Diceros bicornis minor: one gene and its partners. The protein of the gene in region 3 purifies or fractionates together with the protein of the main gene of each other region. This does not show direct contact. Links are inferred from orthologs where the notes say so. Each region holds a gene or a part of one and is shown on either strand. Other genes may lie near its edges. The genes, in order: EXOC6B, EXOC6, EXOC8 and RALB.

The links.
Region 1: the proteins of EXOC8 (region 3) and EXOC6B purify together in Homo sapiens (affinity purification with mass spectrometry; 3 studies listed by BioGRID and IntAct, counting the BioPlex papers as one, with this or other methods). This does not show direct contact. The link is inferred for Diceros bicornis minor from reciprocal best matches to the Homo sapiens genes EXOC8 and EXOC6B.
Region 2: the proteins of EXOC8 (region 3) and EXOC6 purify together in Homo sapiens (affinity purification with mass spectrometry; 4 studies listed by BioGRID and IntAct, counting the BioPlex papers as one, with this or other methods). This does not show direct contact. The link is inferred for Diceros bicornis minor from reciprocal best matches to the Homo sapiens genes EXOC8 and EXOC6.
Region 4: the proteins of EXOC8 (region 3) and RALB purify together in Homo sapiens (affinity purification with western blotting; 6 studies listed by BioGRID and IntAct, counting the BioPlex papers as one, with this or other methods). This does not show direct contact. The link is inferred for Diceros bicornis minor from reciprocal best matches to the Homo sapiens genes EXOC8 and RALB.

What each region holds. Positions count from the first base shown.
Region 1 is NC_080751.1:16,031,920-16,038,935, reverse strand, and holds the start of EXOC6B (exocyst complex component 6B), read right to left. Parts: upstream 3,001-7,016; 5' UTR 2,925-3,000; coding exon 2,812-2,924; intron 1-2,811. UniProt on the Homo sapiens protein: Component of the exocyst complex involved in the docking of exocytic vesicles with fusion sites on the plasma membrane.
Region 2 is NC_080745.1:58,529,689-58,537,010, forward strand, and holds the start of EXOC6 (exocyst complex component 6), read left to right. Parts: upstream 1-4,319; 5' UTR 4,320-4,338; coding exon 4,339-4,439; intron 4,440-7,322. UniProt on the Homo sapiens protein: Component of the exocyst complex involved in the docking of exocytic vesicles with fusion sites on the plasma membrane.
Region 3 is NC_080745.1:24,862,546-24,870,108, forward strand, and holds the start of EXOC8 (exocyst complex component 8), read left to right. Parts: upstream 1-4,556; 5' UTR 4,557-4,814; coding exon 4,815-6,992; 3' UTR 6,993-7,563. Other genes in the region: DNA-dependent metalloprotease SPRTN, read right to left, coding at 2,839-2,938, 3,998-4,218. UniProt on the Homo sapiens protein: Component of the exocyst complex involved in the docking of exocytic vesicles with fusion sites on the plasma membrane.
Region 4 is NC_080749.1:12,473,139-12,480,909, forward strand, and holds the start of RALB (ras-related protein Ral-B), read right to left. Parts: upstream 3,006-7,771; 5' UTR 2,867-3,005; intron 765-2,866; exon of another isoform or gene 672-764; intron 1-671. UniProt on the Homo sapiens protein: Multifunctional GTPase involved in a variety of cellular processes including gene expression, cell migration, cell proliferation, oncogenic transformation and membrane trafficking.

The DNA of each region.
Region 1 (7,016 bases), on a different chromosome or scaffold from region 3:
TGGGAATCAACTAACATTGCATGTACTGTTCAAGATTTAAATAAGGATAGTTATATAATGAAAAAGTCAAGCCACTTTGGCTCTCCAAACAAAGAGGGATAAGAGTGGAAGAAGAATCTGGTATCACAGCAGGGAAAGAAATCAAGTAATGATACACAAGTAATAGTTGGCCGAGAGTGGTTAGGCAACGTGGCTACATGGATTTTTGCGAAGAGCGGGAATTTTAGGGATGGGTATAATAATCTTATATCTGCTATCAATTTACTGTTATTCTCTGCTCTTTAGTTCTTCTTCAATTACAAAACCTATCTCAGGAACAGCTAAGAATCTGGTGCCTTAAAATGTTACCTCAAAAGATGGAAGAGATAGGAAAGACTATGAAGAGGGGTAGAGGAGTTTGAGATTTACAGTTGAGGGTAGTTAGGAAAGAGAACCTACTGCCTTAATCAAACCTGGTTAATGACTGTGATGGAAAAACAGAGATAATGATGATAGAGTTACATCCAAGGTTAGGCATGGGATCTGAAACATCAAGTCTGTGCATGCTGCTGCCTCTGAATGGGATAAGGAAAAAAGGTGAGGTCATCCCCTATGAAAATGGGCAGGGACGAGCTAGACTAAAGACAAACACAGAGGGTACTACTTGTATACAGGACATTCAAGTAACTGAAACTTGGGTCTGATAGTAAGATTTAGGATTATGTGCCAAAGACAGGATGAGGCCAAAAATGAAAAGCCGCTAATAATGATACACAGGGAGTCAGGAAAATAACTAAAACAGGCAGGATAGTGCAACGGTTCTCAAACCTTTTTTTTTTTTTTTTACCAGTCCCCTTAGGGCAAAAGATCCCTTAATCCATCTACCCCCTAAAAACCCACTTTCTAGTGGAAAAAGAACTCAGTGATAACAATGAAGCAAATTTTAGGGAAAAGGGGTAACATTTTAACCATAACGCATATATTCTTCAGTCAAGATACTAGAAAATTACAAGCCAAAAGTCAGTTGATACAAATATGCATTACTATTCAGTGGAAGCTAACATAATAAATCACAACAGACTAAACTGATAACACAAAATTAAAGTCATCTATCATATAAACCAAGAACGACAGCAACTGAAAACCACAACCAACTCAAGACAACATTGATAGTGTTCTGATCAAGAATCCTTCCTAAAAACTCTGGTAATCCCAATTGTTCCAGTGGGAGATTTGCTTGACTGCCAACTGCAGCTCAGCCGCCAAATTTCTTAGTAGAACACTGAAACAGCATCTTCAGTAACTCTAGTAACATTTTGTTTTATGAAAACCAAATATTAATAACGCACTTAGAATACTAGTAAGTAGCCCTTAGTTTTTATAAAAGTGAAGATAACGAAATGAGGATCATTCACCCTCAAGAGCTCAAGAAAACAGGAAAAGAGAAGAGCATGAGGGTCACGATCACAATGCATAAAGAGACAAAAGGCAAACTATCAAAGACAGTCATATCCAGAGATGGCACTGGGAGAACTGTGCTAACAATGTGCCCTGGAGAAGGAAGCTACACAGGTAAAGACGAGGAGTAAAGTCTCCAGCCCGCCCCTCCTTCAAACATTCTTTCATGAGGCAACTCTCCCCATGAAAAAACAAGCAGTAATAACTCTTTTTTGAAGGGAGGAGCAGGGTAAGATAACTACCTATCTATTGGCTGCACGGAGATCAGAAGATAGCACAGGAAGGATGAAGATGAGTTAGTTCTAGGGCATTAGTAAACTGAGGGGAAAGGGAAAGGTAGTTCGAAATTGGGCTTGGTGAGTAATTAACAGGAAGTACAGGTATATGATCATCCCCAACTGAGACAGAACAACAGGGGTTAAAAATGCAGACTGGATCCAGACTGCCTGGATCCTCGACTCCCCCACTTTATTTCCTCTGTGACCTTGGGCAAGTCACTTAACCTCTCCATGCCTCATCTGTAAAATGAGGGTAATGATAGCACCTACCTAACACGATTGTTTTGCAGTTTGAATAAGTTATATCTGTAAATCATTTAATACAATGTCTTGCACTGTACGTAATAAGTGGTACCTAAGTTTTGTTAAATAAGTTGAGGTAGGTGGGAGTTTTTGACATCTTCAAATAAAATGGAGGTGTGCGGGCAAAAGAATGGTAACTGGGGGACAGGAGAAGGGATAACTTTTTCTCAGCGATGAGACTACAAAGAGGCTGCACCTTTGGGAGGGATCGTCCTCCTGACGGTTCAGCAAGCACCCGCTCCCAGGAGAGGGGCGCGGGTTGAGAGAAACTTCCTTCCTTCCAGGGCCTAGGATTTTCAGGAACTCGTTTGTGAGAAGTGGTTGTGATTTTAAGGTGGCGAGAGCTTAATTTCCGAGCAACAGACCGTGGGGTGAAATTCTGTTTTGTCTGAAGAGCAGGACTCATGTCTAGGGCAGGACGGGGTTTGAGTCCGAGGGAGAAGGGTGATGTCCTCAGGGGCAAGATCTGCTAAGAGCCACCATCTGTCGGGCGCGCTCTAGTTGCCCGCGCGGGGCTAGCCTCGGAGGTAGCACGAAGGCTGCCCCAGCCGCGAGGGAGGCAGGAGAAGCCTCCAGAGTAACTGGGCTGTGAGCGCGGCGGTCGGGAAGGGACCCCACGTCGGGGCTGCGGAGAGAGATCCGCCTAGCCCAGGGTGGAGGTCGCTCGTCGGTCTCTCCGAAGGGAGGGGCCGGCCCTGGCCTGCGGGCGACCGGCCCAACGCACAGCCCCAAGGGAGCCTGCCCCCCTGGCCCGCCCGTGCCTGCCCGTCGGTGGCCCCGGTACCCGGGGTACCTGAGCGTGGGCCCGATGCAGGCCGTGTCGGTGCTCTCGATCTCTCGCAGGATCCGCTCGTGCTCCGCCGCTGTCTCCAGGCTCTCCGCCTCCGCCATCTTACCCCGCTCCATAGACTGGGGGCGCCCGGTAGCGCGTCCCCTCCTTCAGCTCGGCTCACCTTTCGCTCCCTCTCTCACCCCAGGCTCCAGAGCCTCCCAGCCTCCAGCTACCCGCAGGACGACCCCTCCCTCAAGCTCGGCACGCCCCCTTGCGTCACCGCGTCCGCCGTCGTCCCGCGCAATGCCGGCTGGGATTTGTGGTTCTCCGGACAATGACAGGGTGGCCTCTGCTCATTTATTAATTGAATCCGCAAATACGTGTTGACAGCCCCAGTATAAACCAGGAACATTTAGCGACACTGCATATGCAGCGGTGATCAAGTCAGGCAATGACACTAATCCTACAAATTCTTGTTTAAGACCCTGGCCACAAAGTGCATAAGGCCCTGTAGGCGTAAATAATACAGAAGAACTAATTAGGTTTCTGCAGACAGCGATCTTAAAGCTATGAGGAGGAGAAAGCTGGAGAATCCCAAAACTAAGACATAAGGCAGAATGTGGCTGTAAGCCAGTTCAGAGAATCGAGTTCAGGAATCACTTCTGGCTGTGAAGGATTCATAGAGAGACTGGGCCTGGAAGTTTAAAAGGTGTGACTGGAAGGTGTGAGGAACACCTAGAAAGCCAGCAAGAACTTCATTTGCACTGGTATGTAGACAAGTAGTAGTAAGATATGGGGCTGGAAAGGTACCTTGGAGAGAAATCCTGGGCTAAGAAATTTGTACTTTGTTCTGATGGCTCCACTGGTCCAACATCCAACCGCATCCCAAGCGCCTGGAAACTTTTTTTAAAATATACACTAAACGTCCTACATCTGAACATTCTGATCCAGGCATCTGCATTTCATAAACTCCCCAGATTAGAATTAGAAAATCATATATTGATCACTGCTTGAGTTTTCACATAACACAATGAATGGGAATCCACCGATGGTTTTTAGGAAGAAGAGTGACACAACCAGAACCTTGGCATTAGGAAACTTGATCAAGAGCAAGTGTGCAACGTGGGCAGAGAGAGAGAATTTGGAGATAGGGAAATGCTAGGAGAGATTTTTAAGGCCTAAATCGAGGAAGTGACAATGAGAATGAAAAAGAATGGACACATAGGAAAAACATTGTAAAGTAGAATTGGCAGGATTTACTGGATATGGGGAAGGAGGAGAGGTTCAGAGCAGAGTGACTGGGAGAATGGTGTTGCCATCAACCAAAAAAGGCATGTAAGAAGAACCAAACTGGAAGTTGAGGCTAAATAATTTCTGCTACAGCCATACCATGGATTATTATGGTATGATATGAGAATAAATATTCATATATACTCTTACATATACGTAAAATACTCCATAGAATATTTCTCAAAGGACACCCAAGAAACTGTTAACAGTAGTGGCAGTTAGGAGAGAGCTTGGCAGGAAGGGGCCTGGAGTAGGAGGAAGGTAAATTTTAATTATGTATTGTGTGCACTTTGGGAATTCTTTCCCTTGTACATGTATTACGTTTTCCATAAAAAATAGTAGTTATTAACTAAAAATACATTTTAAAAATAAACAAACCAATAGTGAGGAGAATGGGTTGCAGGTCCTGGTTTGCCAGGAACCGAGCAAGTTGCTAAACCTGTCTGTTTCTAGATAATCTCTGGCTGTCCTCATTTTATTTCATTACTCAGGCTTAAACAATTCCAGACAGATGTAGGAGGGGTAGGGAGAGTATGGAGCCTTTCATATTTCTAAAAATCTCTTAAAATACATGATGGAGCGTCCCTTCAGGCACCCGTTTTAGCATCTCACTCAGCAAAAAGTTTTTTGTCCATCACAGGAAACAGACTGGTATGTAGACCAGATATGTATAGTAGTAGTTAAACTAGCTTTTGCTACTATCAGCAGTTTTTTTGAGCCCCAGCAGAGGCCAAAGATCTCACATGTTATCAATAAGTGTGTGTGAGTCTGGAGTGACTAATATAGGAAAGCTCCAGTGAAGAGGGCCTGCCTAACTTTAATGCCCTCTAAATACAGAGAATGTCAGGTCAGTGTGGAATGACCAGAAAAGCACTAGACTAAGAGTCAAGGGGCCTTTGATTCAGGTCCAGCATTAGCAGTTAAAGTGTATTGAGCACTGTCTGTGCCAGACACAATACACAAAGTAAGCACTTCACATGCATCATTAAATCCTTACAACAATCCTTTGCTGTAGATATTATGTATCCCATTTTACAGATGAAAAAGCCAAGAGATTAGGTAATATCTCAGACCTCACAGCTAGTAAATGATGAAGCTGGTATTCAAACCCAGATCCATCTGATTCCAAGGTCCATTTCCTGACCATTAAGCCATATTGTCCCACCCACACCCTCCATTGCCACGAGTTTTTTATGAGAGCTTAAGCAAATCATTCTGCCTCTTTGCATCTGCTTCCACATTAGTATAATGGATTGTATGATTTCTCAGACCCCTTCCAAATCATCTTGAAGACCTCTTCACAGAACCACCTCTTTCCACTTACTTACTTTAAATGACTAGGTTTTCTCTTCCCCTGCATCAGTAGATTAACAGTGTCAACATTCTCACTACTCCCCACTGCCACTTCTAGACTGTTGTTCCAACACCCTGATTCCTCAGCTCCTCTTTGAAGTTTAGGGCATCACATTGTGTTATGGTCATCTGCTAATGTCCGTATTCATCAGAAATTTTACCACTGGCTCACAGTTTTCCTATCCCCCTCAATCTCTGCCATCATCCTGAAGCACTTCAGTATCAACACAGATAGCTCACCCACACCCGGTCCTCATGGATCCCAACTATCCCAGTGATGTTCCTCATGCCACTTAGTCAATACCTTTATGGCCTCACCTTCTTCTTAACATTCCATAAACACTGCTCTACCCCCAAGGCTACAAACTGAAATTCCTCTCTCTACCTCTTTCCCATCCACCTCTTCCTCTGCCTAATTTCTGGGGAACCCACACTTTAGTCTAATTACAGTCTTCATCTCTGATTTCTATGTAATCTATTGGCATATTTTCCCTTCTAGTCTGGATTTTCTTCTATCCAAACTTCAATTCAGAGAGATCTGAGTTTGACCCCTGGTTTCTCCACTAATCAGCAAGGGAATCTGGGTATGTTACGTGGCTTCCTTAAGCTGCAGATTTCTCATATATAAAGTGGAGTTTATAATATATCCCTTACGTAGTTGTAAGAATTAGAAATAATTAATGTAAGGGGTCTAGCGCAGGGCTTGGCAGAATCAATGTTAGCAGCTACCCACAGCACATACTCCTATGAGCCATCAATCTGACTAAACCTTCTCTAATTCTTTAGCTTCCTTTAACCATATCCACATTGCCAATTTCTCTCCCTTCTATTGTAGTGGGGATAAGAGACTGTAACCATGGCAACTTTTCCACCACAGCACTTTTTTGTTGCTCAATATCATTTGGGCCCTCATGGCTGCTCCCCATCCTGTGACTTCTATTCCTCCTCACAGCACCCATTTATAATCTTTTCCTCTCTACCTAAGATCCTAGCTCTGCTCCCATCCTTCTCACTCTTAGAAGATGACTTCATCCATTATTAAACATTCATTTTCCCTCGCCTTCACAATCTTTTCCTCCAACTCCTCCTCCTTTCCTGTGTAAGAGGATTGGGGATGCCATAACTTTCCCAAGTCAACGTCTCCTCTAGAGAAGTTCCTGCAATTATCTCTCTTCCCTCTTACAGCTTCAGTCTTCCCCGCTGCTTTACCTTTATCAGTAAACACATGCTTGAGTCTTTCCAACTAAAAGTCTCTCCCCTCAGACTGAATAACCACAGGCAGAAGAATGAAATTGGACCCTTATCTTACACCACTCACAAAAATTAAGTCAAAATGGATTAGAGACTGAAACATAAGAACTGAAACCATGAAACTCCTAGAAGAAAACATAAGGAAAAAGCTCTTTGACATTGGTCTTGGCAATTTTCTGGAGATAACACCAAAAGCACAAGCAACAAAAGCAAACACTAATAACTGGGACTACATCAAACTAAAAAGCTTCCTGTGCAGCAAAAGAAACAATCAACAAAATGAAAAGGCAACCAATGTTTTCGGAGAAGATATTTGCAAATTACATATCTGA
Region 2 (7,322 bases), about 34 Mb from region 3:
ACTGAGGCTTAGACAAGTTAAATAACTCTCCTGAAGGCCAACATCTAGTAAGAGATGAGTTGGAATTTGAACCCAGACACTTAAGCACCAGACCAGTACAGCTGCATTCTACAGCGTCCTTCTGAGGGAGGGGCTTTCCCAAGATAACTTGTAAACAAGTGACTCAAAGTATAAGTCATTAGTGACTAAGAGTTTATTTACAGGTTAAATCCTTACTTTGCTGGTTAGTTTCATACTGGACACAGAATGCATCTCCTGCCCTGCCAGTCCTCCTTTTCCCTCCTTGGAGTGCTGAAGAGAGATTTTGGGTAGATTTCTGGAAGTCAGTATCCACTGCCTGAAAAGTAACTCAACATTCGAGTGCAATCTGCCTATGTGTGCCCTACTACCCCTCAAGCTCCTCAGACCAGACTGACCACATTATTATCCCTTGGGTAAAACAACATTGGAATACTCTTCTTGGCTGACTTTTTTATTAACGGGAAGGACAGGAACTGGTTAATAACTCCATTTTTCTCCAACTCACTAGCTGCGCCACCTTGGAAAAGTGACTTAATCCTTCCAAGTCTCAGTTTCTTCAAATTAAGTTGGAGATAGTAAAATTACCCCACAGGATTAAATTATATTCTAGTAAAATTAGTACTAATTTAATTACCAGTTAAATTGCTAATTAAATTAGTAAAGATTAAATTAGATAATATAAAGGGCTTAGCAAATAGTGCTCAGTAAATAGCTATTATGGTTCTTATTTTGGCCTATAGCTGAAATTCCTTATTTTAGAGCCTTTTAGAAATGTACCACTTTAGAATAGACCTTTTTTTTTTTTGCATGTTTATGTATTTGTTATGTCCATAATTAAATTTACACAGTTATTTAGGACACTTGGCTTTAAATTCTTAGCAAAAGCCTTCAGGTACTAATGGAACTGTCAGAAGTCACTAGAGGGAACCAGCAAAAGCTGTTTCGGAAGGAGAAGTGGTAATGGACTTCCTTCCATCTTGACTTGAATTGAGGGGAAGATACTGCTGCTTACGTTGAGGTAATCTCTATGGGCAGGTGTTGAAACAGGCCTGGAGTGAGGAGCGCCTGCCTAAGCAGGGCTGGCTTCCCAGAGCTGGGGCATTTGGAGCTGCATTTGGATAGATGGTGTCAGGTTTGGTGAAGAGAAGGGGCAGAGCTCTGGATGGTGAATGCTCAGGAAATGAATGCCCCATCAGGAGACAGTTGCCAAATAAGAAGCTGGCCTGTGCCACACGCCCTGCTCTCCTCACAGGCCCTGCTCTCCTCACTGCACTTAGAACTTTTCAGAACAATGCATTCTGGCCATGCACATCGACTGAGCTAAGATAGTCTGCTATTTCCTGCAGAGAGAACTGGCTTTCTATTCTCTTTGTAGGAAGATATAAAATTTGTCCTAATTTCTTATGTTTGGGTTTCAGATTCAATTTTCAAAAGGTTTATTTTTTCCTCTCAAGAGCTGAATCTGGAATTCAGATGTGCTAACACCAGGGGGTGGTACCTCAGTAATTGGAGAGCCAGTCAGCTAAGAAAAAATTCAGTTTTTTACTACTTAGTGAAAATCAACTGCATGTAGGGCCAAAACACTGGGGTCTAGGTACAGGGATTTGGCTTGATCCAAGGATAAAATTTTAAGTAACCAGAGGAATGGATATAACCTTCGTTATATCCTCTGACCAAAGTCCATAAATATTGTTTCAACTGAATACACCCACATTATAGGATATTATATTTAATGTCAATATATAAAGAGCTTGAAGAAGTTTGTTTGTTTGAAGAAACTAACTTTTTACAATTTGATATTGTTCTAATTCCTAAGTGTTACCAATGACAGATTAACCAAACTCCTACTTTATGCTTAGACCTGTTCGGAATGCTCCTTTCTAATTCATCCTGAACTCTTTCCAATGGCTCAGAGCTTCAGCATTGTCTGGTTTCAAAACCCCTCCAGCTTTCTCTCAACTACATGCAGAACTCTATGAGGAACCATAGGAAATTGCAAAATTAAAAAAAACTCATCTCCGAACTCAAGGACCTTAAGATGATGTGACAGACCTGGTGGACTTGGGAAGATTTTTTTGTTTCTGTATATTCTTGAAACATGAGGAAGTGGGATTTCTTACAAGAGATCTGGATTCTCCTGTACCATCAAGGCTGTGGAAACAGGCTGGGGGGGTTTCTTGGTAGAATGAGCAGTTGGATCTATAATTCCTTGGTCTTCCAAGCCAGCATGCACTGAGGTCAGCAACATTTCGGTTCCCTTGGGGCTCAGTGTACAAAAACAAAGAAAACTCACAAAGGTATGAAAAGGAACCAATCAAAACAAGTGCAAACTATTAAAACAGTTGTTGGTGGAGTGGATAAATATGCTAAATTGAATCTAGAGTTAGCAGAGAAGGTTGTGATTAGTTAGGGTAATCTTTATGGAGACAAATCTGAGTTGAATTTTCCAAGGAGGACAGAAATGTCATAGTAATAGGAAGGAGAACATTTATATATGTTAGTAATATTTGTTGGGCCCTTACTAAGTGTGGCAGGCAGAATAATGGCTCCCCAAAGATGTCCATGTCATAATCCCCGGAACCTGTAAATATGTTACCTTACATGTCAAAAGGGATGTTGCAGATGTGATTAAGGTTAAGACCTTGAGGTGGAAGATTATCCAGAATTATATGGTTGGGTCCAACCTAATCACATGGGTCCTTAAAAGCAGAGAATCTTTCCTGGCCTACGGCAGAGTCAGAGAGAAATGTGACTACAGAAGAATGGTCAGAGAGATGCAATGTTGCTGCCTTTAAAGCTGGAGAAAGGGGGCCATAAGCCAAGGAATGTGGGTGGCCTCTTGAAGCCGAGAAAGGTAAGCAAATGAATTCTCCCCTAGAGTCTCTGGAAAGGAACACAGTCGTGCAGACACTTTGATTTTAGCCCAGTGAGACTCATGTCGAACTTCTAATCTACAGAACTGTAAGATGATAAATTTGAGTTGTTTTAAGCTACTAAGTTTGTAGTAATTTGTTACAGCAGCAATAGAAAACTAATACACGATGGGACAGCAATATGATGTAGACACTACTATTATGGTCATTTACAGATGGGGCAACTGAAATCCAAAGGGATTAGGTTCTTGCCCAATGTCACTCAGCAGTGAAGTGAAGGAGATGGGAATTAAATTGAGGACACCTGTCGTCAACAATCATGCTCTTAACTATCATGCAATATCACCTCCCAGGATTTTTGTGGGGAGCAGAATGGAGGGAGGCTTCTAGTAAAGGGGATGAGTTACACAGCTGGATAGTAAAGAGCTTGGTTGACTCAAAGGGAAGTTTAGCCCTGGATTAATGGAGACCAGAAAATAGTTGTCCCTCAGGGCTAGGTTTGCACTCTCTTCCGGATTAATATTCCTCAGTCACTGCTTTGATCATGACAAACTGGTTTATTCAGTGTCCCACAAACATGGCATTAAATAGGACTCTTCTACACTAGCACCTTTGCCCAAGCCACCCCACCTCTCTTTCCCATTTCTCTGATGCCTACTCCTCTCAAGAGCTTCCATCCCTCCTCATCTCAGCTACAGCAACTTGGGGGCACTAGGGCTCAAGGACTTTGGCATGAAATCACACATTGCCCTGTTGTCTCTTGTGCCTTTGCCATAGAGTGTCATAGTTTTTTGTCATTTAATTTTTCTGGCTAATTTATTTCCAAGTTGATCAGCCTCTGAACTCTGTGGGCAGGGACATGAATCCACCCAGAGCGGTCGTCATGGTGGTCAGCTGGGATCTTCTTGGTTCATGCCTAAAATAAATCTTACTCCCACACACAATTTTGCGTTTCCTGAGAGTGCGTTTTCCTTTTTTTGACTCTCCACCACCCACGGTACATCAGGCCTCCTTGTTAAACGTTCCCGTCGCTTTTGTTACAGATTGAGGGTTATTTGATTGTCGACCTCTCTCATTACTAAGCTATCCCCAGAGCACAGCAGAGGTTCTGCCACACAGAATACAAGAAAATGTGAAAGCCAGGCTAGTCACTAGTCAGCAACGAGGAGCAAGTGGCGGGGGAGAGCGCGAGGCGACGCCTCTCCACTCCTCGCCGCCGCGGACAACACCATGGCCTCCGGCAGGCGCAAAGATCACAACCTGAGGCTAGATCGCGCGCCCCTGTGCTGCCTCTCCCGCGGTCCACGCGCCCCCGCCCCGCCCCGCCCCTTCTCCCGCCCCGCCCCTTCTCCCGCCCCCTCGCGCTCGCGCTCGCGCCGCATGCCGCTCGCCCCCGCCGTCCGCGCGGCGCCGCGCTTCGCTGGCTCCTCAGCGTCCAGCCAAGATGGCGGAGAGCGGTGAGGCTCTGGGCACCGTCCCGGAGCACGAGCGGATCTTGCAGGAGATCGAGAGCACCGACACCGCCTGCGTGGGGCCTACCCTCCGGTAAAGATCTCATCCCCCCCAGGACCTCGGGCTGTCCCCGCCGGCCGCTCGTCAGGAGCCAGGCGTGGCGTCTGCCGCCGGCCGCGCGCGAAGCCGCTCGACAGGTGGTGCGCGCGGAGGCGGGCGGGGGCGCTCCAGGGCGGCGGGCCGGTACCAGGGGCGGGGCGGAACCGACCACTGCACCTGTCGGCGCGGCCCGCCTCAGCCGCGGGGGCTGTCACTGCGCAGCCGGTGGGTGTGGCTGCCGCGGCGCCTCTGACCCCCGGAGCTGCGGCGCCGCCGGTCCCTGGCCTGGGGACGGTCCTCGGGCCTGCCGGGCGCCCGGATCGCGGCTGGGCTGAGGGGGTCTTGGCCGCGGGCGTGGTGGGAGCCAAGGTTAACTGCTGGTAGCCGGCGCGACGGAGGTGCCGAGGCGCGCGCAGGTGGAACGCCTGACGCGCTGGGTTGCGGCGGGCGTGGGAGAATGAAATGGAGTGGGAGACGCGGGCACCATTACACCCCGCCCCGCGGCCAGAGGGGGCGAGAAGGGAGGGTGGTTGGCGGGGAGGAGCTGATGCTCAGGAACGCCCTGCTGAGACCGTGTGCTCACCGGGCAAGCCTCTCTGGAGTCAGGGAAGCTTTTACTTATTTACGAACGTTTCATTAATTTTGCATTAGTTTTCCCGTTTATTTTAAAAAGGATCTCTGCCCTTGAAAAATAGTACCAGGTAATGAATATTCCAGACTGAGTATCTGCTGCCCTAATAGAATATTAGCCGGGCGCTGTACTGATCTATTAGATTAGGTTAGGGACTCTCTTGAAGAATAAGTGCCTTTTAAATATAAGGCTTCATTTTTCGTAGTGAGGATAATGAAATTATGATTCACTTAGGGAAGTTAGGACTGATTGTACTTGATCATTATTATTTTCTTCAGGATACACTTCCTAGAAATGGAGTGCTGTGTGTTTTGTGGACCTGGGGATGTAGCTTAAAGTGAAGCCAGTTCAAGTTATAATGTAAATCCATCTTGCCCTGAGAGTCTGGAGACCTGGGTTCTTGTTTTGCCGTAGTCCTACCACTGATGAAGTGTGCAGTCATGAGCAAAAATCATTTATCCTCTCTGGACTTCGATTTCCTTATTCGTAGACTGGGGAGGGTGAGGATTAGATGCCCAGAACGCCCAGGACATTTGAGACCTTGCCTGTTTGTTCACTGATGTATCCCAAACACCAAGCATGTACTAGGCACCTGATAAATTTTTGTCACATAAAGTTCCTGCTATGACATGATAAGCATAGTTAATGCATTTCCTTAATTTTTCAACATAATTATTTCTTTATATGAAACACTGTACATTTGGTAATGCAAGTAGAAATCATAGATTGAAAGGAGGCTTTGTTTTCCTTGTTGCCTGGTGAAACTGAAACAGTACAGTATGTGGTATAGTTATCAGAACAGTCTATTTTTGAAACAGTATTGGTTATGACGGAGATGTTTCCAAGATGTTTCTTGGAAAAATGTGCTAGGAAATATCCTTGAAGAAAAGATGAAATTAATTTAGAAGAAAAATTTGAAATATGTTGAGAGATTTTTGTGACACAAATAGAATATATGTATGCACGGTGTTGTTATAATTCTGTTCTCTTTTGCGGGCAATTGTGTCACATACTGGTTTTGTTGAAACCCACGCTCTTTTCTTTAGCAAACTCCAGTGACTCATACTTATGCTATATATACACTTGTCACCTCTCATTTACAAGCAGACTTTTCCACACGCACATAGAAGGCACTGCTAGCAGTCCTTTCTCTTGAACGGTGTTTAAGCTACTATTTTTTTCCCTAGGTTTCACTGAGTGAAGTGCTAATATTAAAATTTTAAAAACTTTTTATTATGGGAAAATTTAAATGTTTTAAAAAGTAAAATAGTGTAATGAACCACCAGCAACCTGTCATCCAGCTTCAATTCAACCCCTGGCCAATCTCATTTGATCTTTTTCCCCATCAACTCTTCATCACCCTGGGTTATTTTGAAGCAAATCCCTGACATCAATTCATCCATAAATATTTCAGTGTTGAGATTAATTGTTCTTGTTATGTCTCAGTTATCTTTTAGCTGGCTTGTAGGCTTGTGTTGTTGTTGTTATTATTTTTCTTTTTCAGCCTGACTATTTCCTGATTCACTTTTATCAGATCTGGCTTCCTGGAAGAAGCCAGATGATTAAATGACAAGCATGTTATACACTTCTTACAGGGCCTGACATGTAATATGGTTCTTTGACCACAATGGGATTAAATTAGAAATCAATAATAGAAAACTATCTGGAAAATTCCCAAATATTTGGACACTGAATAATACACATCTAAATAACACATGGGTGAAAGAAGAAATCAAAAGAGAAGTTAGAAAGTGTTTTGAAATGAATAAAATGAAAACATAATATATCAGAATTTGTGGGATACAGCTAAAGCAATACTTAGAAATTTATAGCACTAAACACATCTACTGTAAAACGACAATTTCAAATAATGGCCTCAGCTTCTAACTTAAGAAACTAGAAAAAGAAGAGCAAATGAAATCAAAAAGAGCTAAAAAAAGGAGATGATAAAGATCAGAGTGGAAATCAGTGAAACAGCAAATAGAAAAACAACTGAGAAAACCAATAAAACCAAGCCTGGTTCTTTGAGATCAATAAAATTGATAAACCTCTAGGGGAAGAAAGAGAGCTGATACCAATTATCAGGAATTTCCATTTCCTGATACCAGTGTCAGGAATGAGAGAGGTAACATCACTACAGATTCTACAGATATTAAAAAAGATAATAAAGGAATATTATGAACAACTTCATGCCAGTACATTTGACAACTTAGAAGAAATGGACAGATTTCTTGAAAGAGACAGAC
Region 3 (7,563 bases):
AGGATGGGATAAAACAAGATTTCTCTGTGTATAGTTTTCTAGTTTTGAGATTTTTAATTATATAAAATTTTAAAACAGACAATAAAACCTACTGCTCATTCCACACCAAGGATGCAGAAGTTTAGGTGCAAAATTAACAAAAGCATTTAAGGCTGCTGTTTCATAATCTGTTCTAAAAAATACGTTTTTTTAAAAAAAGCGAAAATCATAAAGGTCTTCAAAAGCATACCTTTTTAATAATCCTCCAAATTTTTTTAAAAAAGAGTTTCCATCAGAAGAACTAGACCTGGCATTAATGAATTTTAGTCTTATAAAATTATGCTGAACAGAAAAATGGGAGAATCAGACATTTTAACTTGGTCATTATGAAAACATCCCTTTTAAAATTATCAACTCTATCTCTGAAAATGAACTTTATTTTTTCAAGTAAATGCCACTCTACTGAGGCTCAAATTCAAAGGCCATTCTATACTTCAAACACTTCTCAACATTCTAAAATAATTATAAATAACTATTTTTCTAAAAGAGAAACAAATTTAGGTTTCTGATTTTTGGTTCAATTTAAACACATCTTGAAAATGATACATGGCACCATACTGATCATTTCTATTTTTATATACTGTATCTACTATTTTCCACATTTAGGCTAGATTCAAGGCTCTACATAACACAGTCCCAAAACACCTTTATTTCCCACCACTGTTCTGTATCTGGCCAAAAGCAACTACTTCTGATTCTCAATATGCCACAAGTTTAATGGCCTCATTTTTTTTCATAACATTCCCATTCCTTCTGCCAAGAGTAGTCTCCCCTACTATCTCTACTCGTCAGAATCCAATCTGTCCTATAAGGCTCACCTCCATGTTTTAATTAGCAGTGGTGATAGTTACAAGGCAGTAGTGATGAGGCCAAGTGGTACAGGGGACAGGACAAGAGCTTTAGAGCCAGGGAAACTAGAGTCTAAGCCAAGGATCTGTTATTTATTGTGCCTGAGACCTTGCACAAGTTACAACTTGTTCCTCATCCCTAAAATGGGGATATCCTAATCTTGCAGGGTTGTGGTAAAGCATACTCTAGATTAACTATATTAACACTAGTTAATCTAGTCCAAAGTCTGGCACACAACAGGTGCTCAATAGTGAGTGAGTGGTAGGAGTGGTGATAGTAGTAGTAATAAACTCTGCATGTATGAAGCTTTTCTTGACCTCCTCAACCAGATAGAGTTCTTTCCTTCTCTGAACCTATTCATTATAATTTAGGTAGCTACTTTAAATACAGACCAGGGTCCCACTGTTCCTCCTGTGTCCTTCTTACCCGATTTGATACTGTAACTTTCCACCCACAGCAAATGCTCAGCTGATACCATTACCACACATTTCCCATTCTCTTCTCACCCATTATCTTTTAAACAAAATTTGTTCATATGTTTATTTAATCATTTATGCAATAAATATTCATTAAGCCACTATTATTCCAATTAGGGCTCCTTGTCAGGTTGATTTGGTTAATCATGTTGTTCGATTTTTTTTGTTTTACGTCTACTATTTTTTTTCTGCTTATTCATTGAGTTACCAAGAGACTTATAACATCCGCAACTCTGACTGTGGATTATTTCTCTTTTTGCTTCTGCTAATTTATGCTTCGTTTGCTTAAAGCTATGTAATTACTTTTAGGCTTGTTATGTTTTTATTTAATAGAATATTTTATCACTATAAAATATCTCCCCTTTTTTCCAAGTAAAACTTCTTCCTTTAAAATCTTTAGTCTAATACTAATATAGCCACAACAACTTTCTATTTACTTTTTTCCATCCTTTTACACTTAACATATGTGTGTCTATTTTAAGTATGTCTCTTTTAATCTAGTGTGTCATTTCATGTCTTTAACTGGAGTGTTTAGTCCATTTACATTTAATATAATTATTGATATTGTGCTTATGCCTACCTTTCTCTTTATCCAGGCTTTGTTCCTTTATTCCTCTTTCCTTTTTTATTAATCAAGTATTTCTGTTGTACTATTTTACATTTATTAGCTATTTACTTTCTTAAAAATTGTGGTAAAAAACACATTACATAAAATTTACATCTTAACTATTTTTAAGTGTACAGTTCAATAATGTTAAGTACATTCATACTGCTGTGAAACTCATTACCTTTTATTATCCTTAAAAACAGCATCCCTCATATTTCCAAGCATGTTTTAACATATTTCCCATCCAATGTCTACCACCCTATGCTCTTTTGTGCATACAAAGTGATATAACTGGGGCAAGACAAGTCACACTGGGTGCATCCTGGAGAATTTCAGGCATCTGTTAGACTCAACTAACCATAATCTAAGAGTTCCCACTGTTCCATTTTGCTAGCAGGAGTGACCACTAGCTCCAGATAGGAAGTGTGCCCTCACGCTGGTTTGTTCTGCCAGCTGGGCTAGATGTCCTGGGAGGGCAGGACCATGGTGGTTGAATAAAGGAGAGTCAAAATTTGTGTCTTAATAGGAAGATCTGAATCCTAAGTTTTTCTCTGCTTCTAAATATGTAACTTAAACCAGTTACTTAATCTCTCTGAATCTTAATTTCCTTTTATAAAAATGAGGATAACACACAATGAACATAAACAGGGTTGTTGTAAAGATCAATTTAGATAATATACATGAAAGCCTTTAACTTTGAAGCACTATAAAAATAGAAGGTAATCATTATTATCTGCCCCACAAAGTTTGCAATGAGGGAAAACTAGTTTCCTTTTTTGACACGTACAGGTTAATTCACAGGAGTCTAAATCAATAATAAGCATTTCTAAGTTACTGAATTAAGAATCAAGTTTATGCAAAGAATACCTCTACAAGATCCTTCCTCGGTCTCAACTTTAAAAGGGGTTCACTGAGACGGATGGAACACATTCCACCCCTCCCTTCATAGCTGCATATCCCAGCACACCTGGAAAACAACCACCACAAAAGCATGATTTACCAAATACATACAAAAGGGAAATAGAGAGGAAAGAGCAAACCCATATACATTCTTGGGCAGTTCACACTGAGAACTCTACGGCAGATGGCTTTCTTAAAAGTATACCCTCTTCCCTGGGAGATATTTGCATTTCACCCCAGTTATGGACATATGTGAACAGTAGTGGCTTCCCTTACCCTAACCAGGCTGCAACAGCTCAAAGAAGATAATCCTATTCTGCTGCTCCCAGTCTCCTCCCTACAAACTATAATCAGTTTGTGGCAGTAACAGCCAGATCTCCATTAGCACATCTCAAAATTATAATACAAGCCTATGTGAAGAAAACGTGCACTTTAAACACAATTTTATATGATATCTTAATCTGTTTTATTTTAGGTTGTTTTGTATCACTTCAAAAACAAGCACGGTAATATACAACCGCATCTTAAACTTGTTAACTCCGTTCCTGTACAGGACTCGATTATTTCAAATCGAGATTTCTCAAATTTAGCGTGTAGGAAAGGAATCCTTTTAGAGGCATCCCCGAAGACCCCTTAGGTCCAGAAATACGGAAACGTCAAGCCCTTGCCCACTCTAACACACGAGCTCACTACTAAGCGGTGCGATCCTAATGAGCATAGAAGAGGACAACACGCCTCTGGAGGTTTCACTGCGTCCTCAGCATTCCAGACTCTGGTTGCTTCTCCTTCCTGGCTCCTAAAACACTACAGTAAATCAAATCAGAAATGTGTTAATTTATTTTCAAGTGAGGTGAGATTCAAAGAAACATCCTCTTCTCTCATTGTGTCCCCTATAAGTCAAACCGTAGCGAGGTGGGCCACACAGCTTTCTTAAAGTTGTCTGGGTGGGAAAGAGAGATAGGGTAGGAAAGGGAGAAATACACGGAGAGGAGGTGCCTGGTCCAAAACCAGACGCCCTCGTTTAACGGCCCCTGGGCCGTCGAGGCGGAGAAGAAGAGAAGCCCAGGGCCAGGGGCTGAGGAAGGGCAGCCAGCCGCCTCTTTTCCCCAACGGGCTCGGGACTCACAGGGTCATTCGCATGCTCCACTTCACCTCGACGGCCTCCAGTTGGCCCCAGAAGAACCGGTCGTTGAACTGCACAAACAGGGCCTGCAAATCCGGGGTGGGGTCCACCAACTCCCAGGACGCGTCCACCAGTGACAAGGGCTCCTGGGCTTGATCGCACTCCGAGACCTCCAAGTTCCACTCCTCCTGAAGCCGTAGTGCCAAAACCAGGTCCTCATCCATCGCTGCCAGGATCCCAGCGAGGTCCGCCGGCTCAGAAACCCAAGGGCCGGGTGGAGCTCCTGGGAGATACCGGCTCTCGGGTCAGCCCGCCGATGTCGCGAGAACTCAGGAAAACTGGCGCGAGAACGAGAACTCAGCTTGCCCCCAAGGCCGACACCAGGATTCTGGGGCTTAAAAAAAAGAAGTCAGCGTGACACCTCCTAGTGGGCTCGAAACTGGGATTCCCAGGGCTTGGGCGAGAGGAAGGTTTCACTAAGCTGGTTATCGCCTTTACGCTTCGCCGGTAACTTCAAACACCAACGCCACGCTCGGCCCATGCGCACTACCTACGTCTCTTTGCCTTTCCCTCTACTCACTTCCGCAATACTCCCCCGGCGCACGCGCTCTAGGCCAATGGCGTTCCTGCGCAGACGCATTGTCTGCGCCCGGCCCCTCGCGCAGGCGCAGTGTCTAACGCTCAGACTCGAGCGCAGGCGTACTTGTCTGTCTCCCATCTGTTCCTCAGCCCTGGAGCTCGGCGGGGTTTGGGTGGGTCTCGACAGCGGCGGCACCGTCAGCAGCGATAGTGACAGTGACTGCGTGGGGCCCGGACGGAAATGGCGATGGCGATGTCGGACAGTGGGGCGAGCCGCCTGCGGCGACAGCTGGAGTCGGGGGGCTTTGAGGCGCGGCTGTACGTGAAGCAGCTCTCGCAGCAGTCGGACGGGGACCGGGACCTGCAGGAGCACCGGCAGCGCATCCAGGCGCTGGCGGAGGAGACGGCGCAGAACCTGAAGCGCAACGTCTACCAGAACTACCGGCAGTTCATCGAGACGGCCCGCGAGATCTCCTACCTGGAGAGCGAGATGTATCAGCTCAGCCACCTGCTGACGGAGCAGAAGAGCAGCCTGGAGAGCATCCCGCTCACCCTGCTGCCAGCTGCCGCCGCCGCTGGGGCCGCCGCGGCCTCCGGAGGGGAGGAGGCAGGGGGCGGCCCGGCCGGCCGAGACCACTTCCGCGGCCAGGCTAGCTTCTTTCCCACCCCCGGGGGCGCCTCCCGCGACAGCTCCGGGTCGGGCGAGGAAGGAAAGCAGCGCACTCTCACCACTCTGCTGGAGAAGGTGGAAGGCTGCAGGCACCTGCTAGAGACGCCGGGACAGTACCTGGTGTACAACGGGGACTTGGTGGAATACGACGCGGACCACATGGCCCAAGTGCAGCGGGTGCACGGCTTTCTCATGAACGACTGTTTGCTGGTGGCCACCTGGCTGCCACAGCGGCGGGGGATGTATCGCTACGACGCTCTCTATCCTCTAGATGGTTTGGCTGTGGTCAATGTCAAGGACAACCCGCCCATGAAGGACATGTTCAAGCTGCTGATGTTTCCCGAGAGCCGTATTTTTCAGGCAGAAAATGCTAAAATTAAACGGGAGTGGCTGGAAGTGCTGGAGGAAACGAAGAGGGCCCTCGGTGAAAAGAGACGAAGGGAGCAGGAGGAGGCAGCGGCCCCTCGAGGGCCACCCCAAGTGACTTCCAAGGCCAGTAACCCATTTGAGGATGAAGACGACGACGAACCAGCTATTCCTGAGGTAGAGGAAGAGAAGGTGGACCTCTCAATGGAATGGATCCAGGAGTTGCCTGAAGACCTGGATGTTTGTATTGCCCAGAGGGACTTTGAAGGGGCCGTTGACCTGCTGGATAAATTGAACCATTACCTGGAAGATAAGCCCAGTCCACCTCCTGTAAAAGAACTAAGGGCCAAAGTGGATGAGCGTGTCCGACAGCTCACTGAGGTGTTGGTTTTTGAACTCTCCCCAGATCGTTCCCTGAGAGGTGGTCCCAAGGCTACTCGCAGGGCAGTTTCTCAACTAATCCGGCTTGGCCAGTGCACGAAGGCTTGTGAGCTCTTCTTGAGAAACAGGGCAGCAGCTGTGCACACTGCCATCCGTCAGCTTCGCATTGAAGGTGCCACTTTACTGTACATTCATAAGCTATGCCATGTCTTCTTTACCAGCCTTCTTGAGACTGCAAGGGAATTTGAGACAGATTTTTCAGGCACTGACAGCGGCTGCTACTCTGCCTTTGTGGTCTGGGCGAGATCAGCCATGGGCATGTTTGTGGATGCTTTTAGCAAGCAGGTGTTTGACAGTAAGGAGAGCCTCTCTACAGCAGCCGAGTGTGTAAAAGTGGCAAAGGAGCATTGTCAGCAACTGGGTGACATCGGACTAGACCTTACCTTCATCATCCACGCCCTTCTGGTGAAAGACATCCAAGGTGCCTTGCACAGTTACAAAGAGATCATAATTGAAGCCACTAAACATCGCAACTCGGAGGAGATGTGGAGGAGGATGAACTTGATGACTCCAGAGGCCCTGGGTAAACTCAAAGAGGAGATGAAGAGTTGTGGGGTGAGTAACTTCGAGCAGTACACAGGGGATGACTGCTGGGTGAACCTCAGTTACACAGTGGTGGCCTTTACCAAGCAGACCATGGGCTTCTTGGAAGAAGCACTGAAGCTGTATTTCCCAGAGCTGCACATGGTACTTTTGGAGAGCCTGGTGGAAATCATTTTGGTTGCTGTTCAGCATGTGGATTATAGTCTTCGGTGTGAGCAGGATCCAGAGAAGAAGGCCTTTATCAGACAGAATGCATCCTTCCTATATGAAACAGTCCTCCCTGTGGTGGAGAAAAGGTTTGAAGAAGGTGTGGGGAAACCCGCCAAGCAACTCCAGGACCTGAGGAATGCATCTAGACTTATTCGTGTGAATCCTGAAAGTACAACGTCAGTGGTCTGATGCTTGGGTCTGTTTATATGTATACGTATATGTTGCTTATATATTATTTATATTTATATTAAGTTGTATTAGCATATTCTTTATAGTCTCAAACACAGCTTAAAAATAAAAGATGCCCTCTCAGTTAGAAATGCAAAATCAAAAGGAGAAAGAAAAAGATGTTAAATTAACCCTAAATAACAATAACATTGGAATTAGTAAAATATATAATATGCTTTTCTTTTAAATCATGCTCATTCTCTAATGAATATATTATCACATTACAGCATTTCAGCTTATCCTTTGAGTCAAAACACACTTTCTCACAGTATATATTATGCAGCAGAGAAAAATAATATCTATAAATACATAGAGTTTAAGTATGTTGTGAAACGTTTCCTAGTTCACTAAAATGTTAGGTTTCTTAAAGGAGACAATGCCGTATAAAACACCCTGCTTTATATACTTCCTTAAAATGCTTAATATACTTCACCTTAAAATGTGATTGAACAATTTGGGGACAAGGAAGGAGGAGTTGAGAAAATTGGTTTTAGGGTAAATTTCAGTCAACAGAATTGCTTCTTGAGAGTAG
Region 4 (7,771 bases), on a different chromosome or scaffold from region 3:
TCAGTCAACAACAAACCACATACAATGGTGGTCCGACAAGATTAGTACCATACAGCCTAGGCGTGTACAGTCTACACCATCTAGGTTTGCGTAAGTACACTCTATGATGTTCGCACGACAAAATCACCTAATGAAGCATTTCTCAGAACATATCCCCATCATTAAGTGACACATGATTGTGTTAGCAATTATCAATAGCACCTTTTTCTTCATTTAGATTTCAATTAAAAAAAAAGCAAAAACTCCCAAAAGAGTCTACAACCATAAGAGACAACACTCAGGAAAATTATAAGCAGTTACTTTTTTCAGAGCAACAAAAACTTGAAATTGAGAGCTGGCTGGCATTTTGTAGTTGCTGTAATAACCACGTATACCTTTCCTCTTTGACACTGAGCTTCCATATTCTCTTCAGCTCTCTTTCTGCTCTCACTCATCCAAAAATTCATATAGCTTCTTGCCTACTGGCCTACTTTTTGGAACATCTACGGATATGTACACATATACATGCCTATTTGTCTTCCTAGGTACCAAAAGAACAGAAGAGCTAAAGGAAACAGCTCATGGTCAAATCTCCAAGGCCAGATATTTATCTGGTATTGGTTAGATCAGCGAGTCTGTGCCAAGCAGACAGCCGATGCTCAATAAATGTCAATTTCTCTCTACCTCCTTACCCACTCCACTCTCCTCCACACGATTAGGGAAGAGTTCCATTTTCTCTGGTACTCCACTCTCTTTGATTCAGACACCCCAGCAATATGTATTCACTGAAAAAAAAAAAAAAATCCAAGTATCTTGCATATCTAACAGCAAGGGCTATTTGTTTAGAAGTCATCGGAGCCAAAGAAAAATGGGACTCTTGCATATCATCCTGAGAAAAATTACACTGGAAACCTCAGAAGAGTTCACCAAGATCTCTTTCAACACTGTAGTTTTGGTTTGTTATATTGTCTCCAAATTTAGCTTTCAAGAAAAGGTCTCCAATGATGTTTCTAACTTACATCAATTCCATGAGTGGATAAGAATTTAGTAACTGAATGCAAAGAGGTATTGTGGGAGTGGGTGATGTGGCACAAAGGATGATGTCAACTCTCTGGTTTAAAAATTTCCAGAGTCTCAAGCCATCTTCAGCCAAGGAAAGAACCTTGAAGAATTAACACAAGAATTGAGAACCTTTCCACTTCTTCCACCAAGACCCGTTTAGATCTCATTTAAGGCTCTAATTCTTGTTTTCCTATCTTTATGTGTCTAGGTCCCATATTCCCAAAAGGTATCTAGTAACTTATACCCCTACTTTTTTCCACACAAAATCCTGGGAAAGGTTCTACTCCTCGGGCACAGGGAAATCTTGCTGAGATCTCAGATAAGAGCATCTACTGTTTCCAATGGGAAATACCATGAATAGAAAAGGAAGGAAAGACCCAGATGTGGTCAGAAGAAAGCAAACTAGCTGACACGACTAAAACCACACACGAGGGATGTGTATCCCCAGCCTTATTCCCACCCCTACCTTCATCCCACCCCCACCACCACAAAGAACACCTTATACATTCCTTATTTCGCTTAATCCTAACAAGCAGGATACCCACTATCACCTTTTTACAGCTGTGGACTCTGCCGCACAGAGAGTTGAAAGGCCGTGCTCAAGATCACACCACTAATAATTTCAGAACCAGCATCAAACCCAGGTCTTCACAGTCTGCCCTCCTCCTCTTCCCAATAGTCAACACTACCTTTCACTGCCACCCCATTTTTCTGAGAACTTCAATATTCTAATTGTATTGCTTCAGGTTTAAGGAACATTGACTTTAACTGTTTCGAGCTTTGACATCCAAGAATCTTGTTGCTCTGCCTAGAACATGGGTCATTTACACATCTAAAAGATACACTAGCCCCTCTGATAATCAGTGCCCGCTATCCATCCCTAAAACTTAACAAAAAGAAGGAAGATTAGGAAACTAGGACAAAGCAGAAGGTTCACTGTTCTTCGAGGGTTGCAATAGAGTCACAGATAACTCTAATGAAGAAACAGCCAAGTCTCCACCATTGGCAGTCCTCAATCAGTCCACCAGACACAACTTCTCCCCAGAAGAGTCACCTGATAACAACATCCAAGTTCCAACGTTTCCAGTATTCACCCGAAAATTAGCACAGAAAGCACACTGCTCAAACAAACAGCCTGGGCGCAGCTCCGTCCGCCACTAGCAGTTCTGAACCAACCACGGATAACCTTATAGTACACCTACAAGAGGGCAAGAAGAGAGGTGCTGCAGCCTCGTCCAGACAAACAGTTCAAGTCCATGGTGCTCTCTATCAGACGCCACCTTCGGTGCCAGCCCCTATCAGTAAGGAACCGGGGGGCCGGGGAGTCAAAAAAACAACTTTACGCTCAGTTGCAAGGGAGCACAAAAACAAACAATTAGACCAAACAACTTTTGGAACACGGCCCCACTTCAGTCCAAGTGCAAGTTCTTAAGGTACTAATAAGTTTTGCAACACTTATGGCCCTGACCCTGCCCACAGCCGCAACTCAGGCACTAAGGAAGTGGACCATCCTCGGGCTGGAGGCCCAAAAGGGCAGGAAGTGGAAGCAGAGGCCATTTGTGGGAAAAGGAAAGGAGCGGCAAAAAGGGAGAGGCTGGGGCGCCGCCCCCACTTCCTCAGCCCCAAGCCAGTCTGGGAGGCCTGGAGGCTTTCTCCAGAGGACCGCCCGGAGCCGAGCGGGGCCACTGCCCCGGCGTCGCCTTCCCCCAGGCTCCGGGCGCGACGTGTCCGGCCGCCGGCCACAGCACAGGGCGGCGCACCTACTTCCCCAGCCCGCGCCCCACCCCGCCCGGAGGGGGCCCTGCCAGAGCGCGGACACGCTCACCTGGGACTTGTCCCGCGTCGCCTTGGCCGTCCGCACCAGGCCCGCGGCTCTTAAACCCGCCCCGCCCTCTCCTTCTCCTCCTCGCGGGGCCGGACCCCAGCCGTCCCCTGCCGATTTGTCATTGAGCAGCCCCGGCTCCCTTCCCACCCCACGAGCGCGCCCCCGGCGTCGCCTAGGCAACCCTGCCTCCCGGGAGCGCGCCCTCTCTTCCGTTCCCGCCCTCTCCCTGGAGGCCACGCCCATCGAGAGCCTATTGGCCAATCCGAAGCGGAGCTTCCAAGCCTCGGGAGGCCGTGGAGAAGGCTTCGCCAAGGAGAAGCCGTCTCACGCGGGAGGGGCGGGCTCGGCGCGCCTGCCCCACCCACCTCCACTTCCTTCTTCTTTTCCGCGGCCGGACAGGCTGCACGTGACCGCTGCTGCAGTGAAGGAGTTGGAGCGGGTCTGGGGACTCCCGGCTTGGGCGGGCGGAGGGCGTTCCCCTCCTGGATTTGGGTCAGGGCGAGGCCAAAGTAGTGGAAAGCAAAAGAGAGGAGCAGACCTGATCTAGAGAAACATAGGAAAATTACGATATAGTGCGCGGGTGTCGAAGGGTCCAGGCGGCTGTCGGGACGCCGGCCAGGGGCTCCTGAGGCGGGAGCTCCTCGTGCCGCCACGACTCGCTTGGCTAATGACATCCCATTAGCAGTAATGCAGTTACTTGACCAATGCCTAGCAATAACTTGACCCAGGTCACATACAAGGGCCAGAGTCCTAACCCCAGCGGTAGCCTTGAGGCAGGAAATGCAGTAGACAAGCTCATGGCCGACAGACAGGTTTTTCTCCCACAACCTGCCCCCGTCGTTGTCCTGCAAAGTCCGGGAACTTGTAATTTTCTATCCAAATAGAGCTTAACCTTGGGTTGATTTTCCTAACTAACCGCACCTTCCTAGAGCTGAATCTTCCCCCAACCCCTCACTCTGCCTCCGCAGGATTTGTGGCCCCGTTGACCCCTACACGCAACACTGTATCGCAATTAATTGTTTAAATGTCAGCCTCTATAATCTCTAGGGAAGGAAACTCTCTTGTTCAATTTGATATCCACAGTAGCAGCACCGTGTAATTAATTCCTTCGTTGTTGATAATTAAACATTAGGATACATGTGTATTATATGCGAGGCTTTGTGCCTTGATTAGATTGCTATGTATAATCAACTAACAGGTCCAGGCCCTCCACCACCAAGTGTATCAAAAAGCACAGAAGATTTACTTTAGTCTTAAGTAATAGGCTTAACAAAAAACTGTAACCAGAAGAATATCCTAGTAAATAGAAGAATGTCTTTTTCCTATGGAGTAATAATTAAGTGCACAGGTTTGCAATCAGCATAAGTTCAAAGGAGGGCTCTGCCATATAAGCAGCAGTTAATTAGGAAGTTACTTAGCCTCTGTGGGCCTCAGTTTCCCCAGCTGCCCAATAGGAGCAGTACCTTCACACTATAGGTGTGAAGATTTAAATGAGATTACCTATAAAGCTCTCAGTACAGTACTAGGAACTTGGTGAGTGCTCAACAAACGTTAGCTTAAATTGTGATTGCCACCAGAGGCCAAGATGTACACTTAAGCATGTTATAACCAACCTAGGGTCAGCATTCCCTCTCAAGGCCTGTTGTATCTGGGACTGTGGGACACCACCATAGAGCAACCAGTGGTGTGTGCAGCCTGGTGAAAAGGACCTGCTCTGGTGATGCTGTTTTATCAAATGCAAGTTTAGACAGGAGACCTGGCTGCAGCAGCCTGCCCAAGGGAAATCAGTAGTTAAGGGAACAGGATCAGGGTCATGGACAGACCAGGATTTTCCTGTTCCCACACCCCCAGGACCCACAGCAGGCACAGGGGGTTTTCTCACTTTCCTGGGCTGTGTAACTGCCATTCCTTTGTATTAGTAATGTGATGTTATGCAGGATGCACTGGGCTTTTTGAGAAATGCTACACTCATCCTCTGCCTCCCACCCCTCAACTCCAAACCTCAGGCCCTGTACTCAGGGATTCTACTGGGACTCCACCAGTAGGATCATCTATTCAGCTCCTGGACATGCCAGGCCCTAGCTGAGTGTGGTAGATTCAGAGTGGAATAAAGGACCCTGCCAGACAGTGAGGGACTGTCTCACCGAGGACACGAGCCCAGGAACATGTCCCACCAGGGGAAGAGCACTGAGAGGCCACCGGCCACGACTGCCACTGGGATTGCTCATGTCAGGTCTCAGAGGATACTCTCATCTGCTGAGCTTCTCCTGTGGGAATTCTGACTCCCGGCAGAGCCAGGGGCCTAAGCAGCAGGAATACAAGATCCCCAGCAGGACCCTGTAAGGTCCCTCTAACCCACTGTAGCTGTGGAAAGAACATTCTAGACACTCCCATTTTCAAAAGTATTTACTGAGTATTGTGTGAGTCTTTACTGCTGTTGGGCAGATATTTCCACTTCTCTCTCCTGGGCACTGGATAGGATTGAACTTCCTAGCTTGCTGTCATTGTGTGAGGCTGTGTGACTAGCTCTAACCAGTGACTTGTGAGCGGAAGTGACACATAAATCATTTTGGGGCTGGAGAATTTATTTGCTAACACGAGACCCTCCAGAGCTCTGGTCTCTATGGGACAGTCACTGGGAATGTTTGGGAGTGTGGCTGCTCCACCAGCCTGAGACCCTACAATGAGCACAGCCCCTCTGCCAACCTGCGATGACATTTAGCATGACTAAGAAACAAACCTTTGTGGTTTGAAGGCACTAAGATTTGGGAGTTGTTCATCACTGCCGCCTAGCTGAGCCTGCTCTGACTGCTACAAGGCCCTAAAGTGTGCCAAGCTGGGGGCACAGTGTTGAACAACTCTGACAAGAGAATAGACAATAACCCAGGGAACAAACAAGCAACTCAATAATTACAAATTGTGTCATTACTTGAGACTGAGTGGTCAAAAAAGGTCTCTCTTAGGAGGTGACATTTAAACTGGGAACTGAAGGATGAAAAGGAATCAATCTTGGAAAAAATTGGGAGTGAAGAGAAGGAGAGGACAGAGGACAAGCATGCACAAACTCCTAAGGCAGAAAAAAGCTTGGTACACTTGAGAACAGACAGGAGACTGGATGAGTGCGTGAGCCCAGGGGAGAGTGAGGCCGCAGGACAGGGGAGAGGGAGGTAGAAGCCAGATTATGGGTTATGATAAAGAGATTAGAATTTATTCCAAGGGTGACAGGAAGCTACCGAGGAGGTTCGAGCCAGGAGGGTGACATGCTTTGACTGAGGTTTTAAAAAGACCACTCTGGCTGCTGCAAGGGGCAGATGTGGGAATGGAGATTAGGAGGCTGTTCTGGGAGTCCAAGCAAACTGGAGTCCACAGGGCCGAGGCTAGAAAGGGTAGTCTGCCCTCGGTAACAGGAGATCTGGGGAGACTGCAGGAGGAGGGGAGCAAGAGAGTTGATGACTAAACCAGGAGTCCTCCTGCCAAATCCCAGAGGACGCAGAGGCAAGGCTGGAAGTCAGGACCCCTAGAGGTGCTTTGACCCCAGGGATATGGGTGCTCAAAATCCAGGCAGGAATGGAGGAGGGTGTGGAGAAGGCAGCTGACCAGTTTCCTAGAACATCAGTCAGCATCAGAGACGTGCTCCACTGAGCTGCAGGATTATATAAATAGATGGTATTATTAGAAAGAGTCTGACAAGCTCCGACATCCCTGTGGGCATTTGGTATTTGGTGATTAGAAAAGAAAGGAGCCACAAATCTACAGATGGAAAAATGAAAAAAAAAAAAAAAAAAGCCATTCTTGCCCACTGAAGAAAATGGGAAGAATCTACTGTAAACAGCAAAACTAGATGGAGCTCATCTTCAGCTCTTCAGTCATCTTTCTATTCTGTGTTTCTCCACCCCTCAGGGCCCAAATGTTCTCTGTCCACTTCTTGCTCTCTCGTTCTATTCTCGGGAACGGGTCTCATAGGCTCATTCACACGCAGGAATAAATGACTGATGACAGCTCAGTGGGTACCCACTCCTTCCTGGGCATTTGTATCATCCAGTGGATGAAAATCTAATGTCCTAGATCAAGAGAAGTATGGGGGGCAGAGACCACAGATCTTTAATTCACACTACTAGAATGGAGTGATGTATCCCTCCTCAGGAAAAGTTTCCAACTCTCGAGTTCTCACCCAAGGCAACAGGTAAGGTAATACATTACTGGAACCCTCCTCCAAAGCCTGGGCAGTAGCCCCAAGCCGCCTTTTCCTTGCAGCCTTCTGCTGGCAGCTACCAAGAAAAGCCCCTGGTATTTACTTACTCCCAAACGTATCCAAAATCTTGACTTTGGTGCTCAATTTAGTTATTGCCACTGTAAAAGACTTACTGGGGGTTTTGAAAACCACTTTTGCTAAGTGTTTTAATGAGAGCTTCTCTTTCCCTATTACCATCTTTCTTTGTGGGCTCTACAGGCCCAGCCAGCCAGCAGGAACTAAACAGATGTTCCCGGAATCGCTCTGCTGGAAAGGCAGAGGCCCAAGTAATTACATAGAAGATAAACCTTTCATCTTCCAAAAGAATTAATCTACCTGGGAAACATGTTAGAAAAAAATAGTTCATGTCTATTTTCCGTTATTGAATTAGCTGGACTTATCTTTTTGCCATCATAGCTTACAAAGAGTTATCTCCCAGAAATAAAGTCAAGTCTGTCTTGTCATTGAGTAATAAGTCTTCATCATTATCTCCCGTCCCTACTACATGCCGGCTCAGGTTCTCCCCTTCCCTCTTTGTGGAGACACGTGCTCCGTACTTCCAAAAATTTGCACAGTCAACAGCCGCCACAGACCTGATACTGACCTCCAGATAACCAGATACAAGCCCCTGCAGGGTGACAGCTGCAAAGCACTCAACTATGAGATAAAATGAG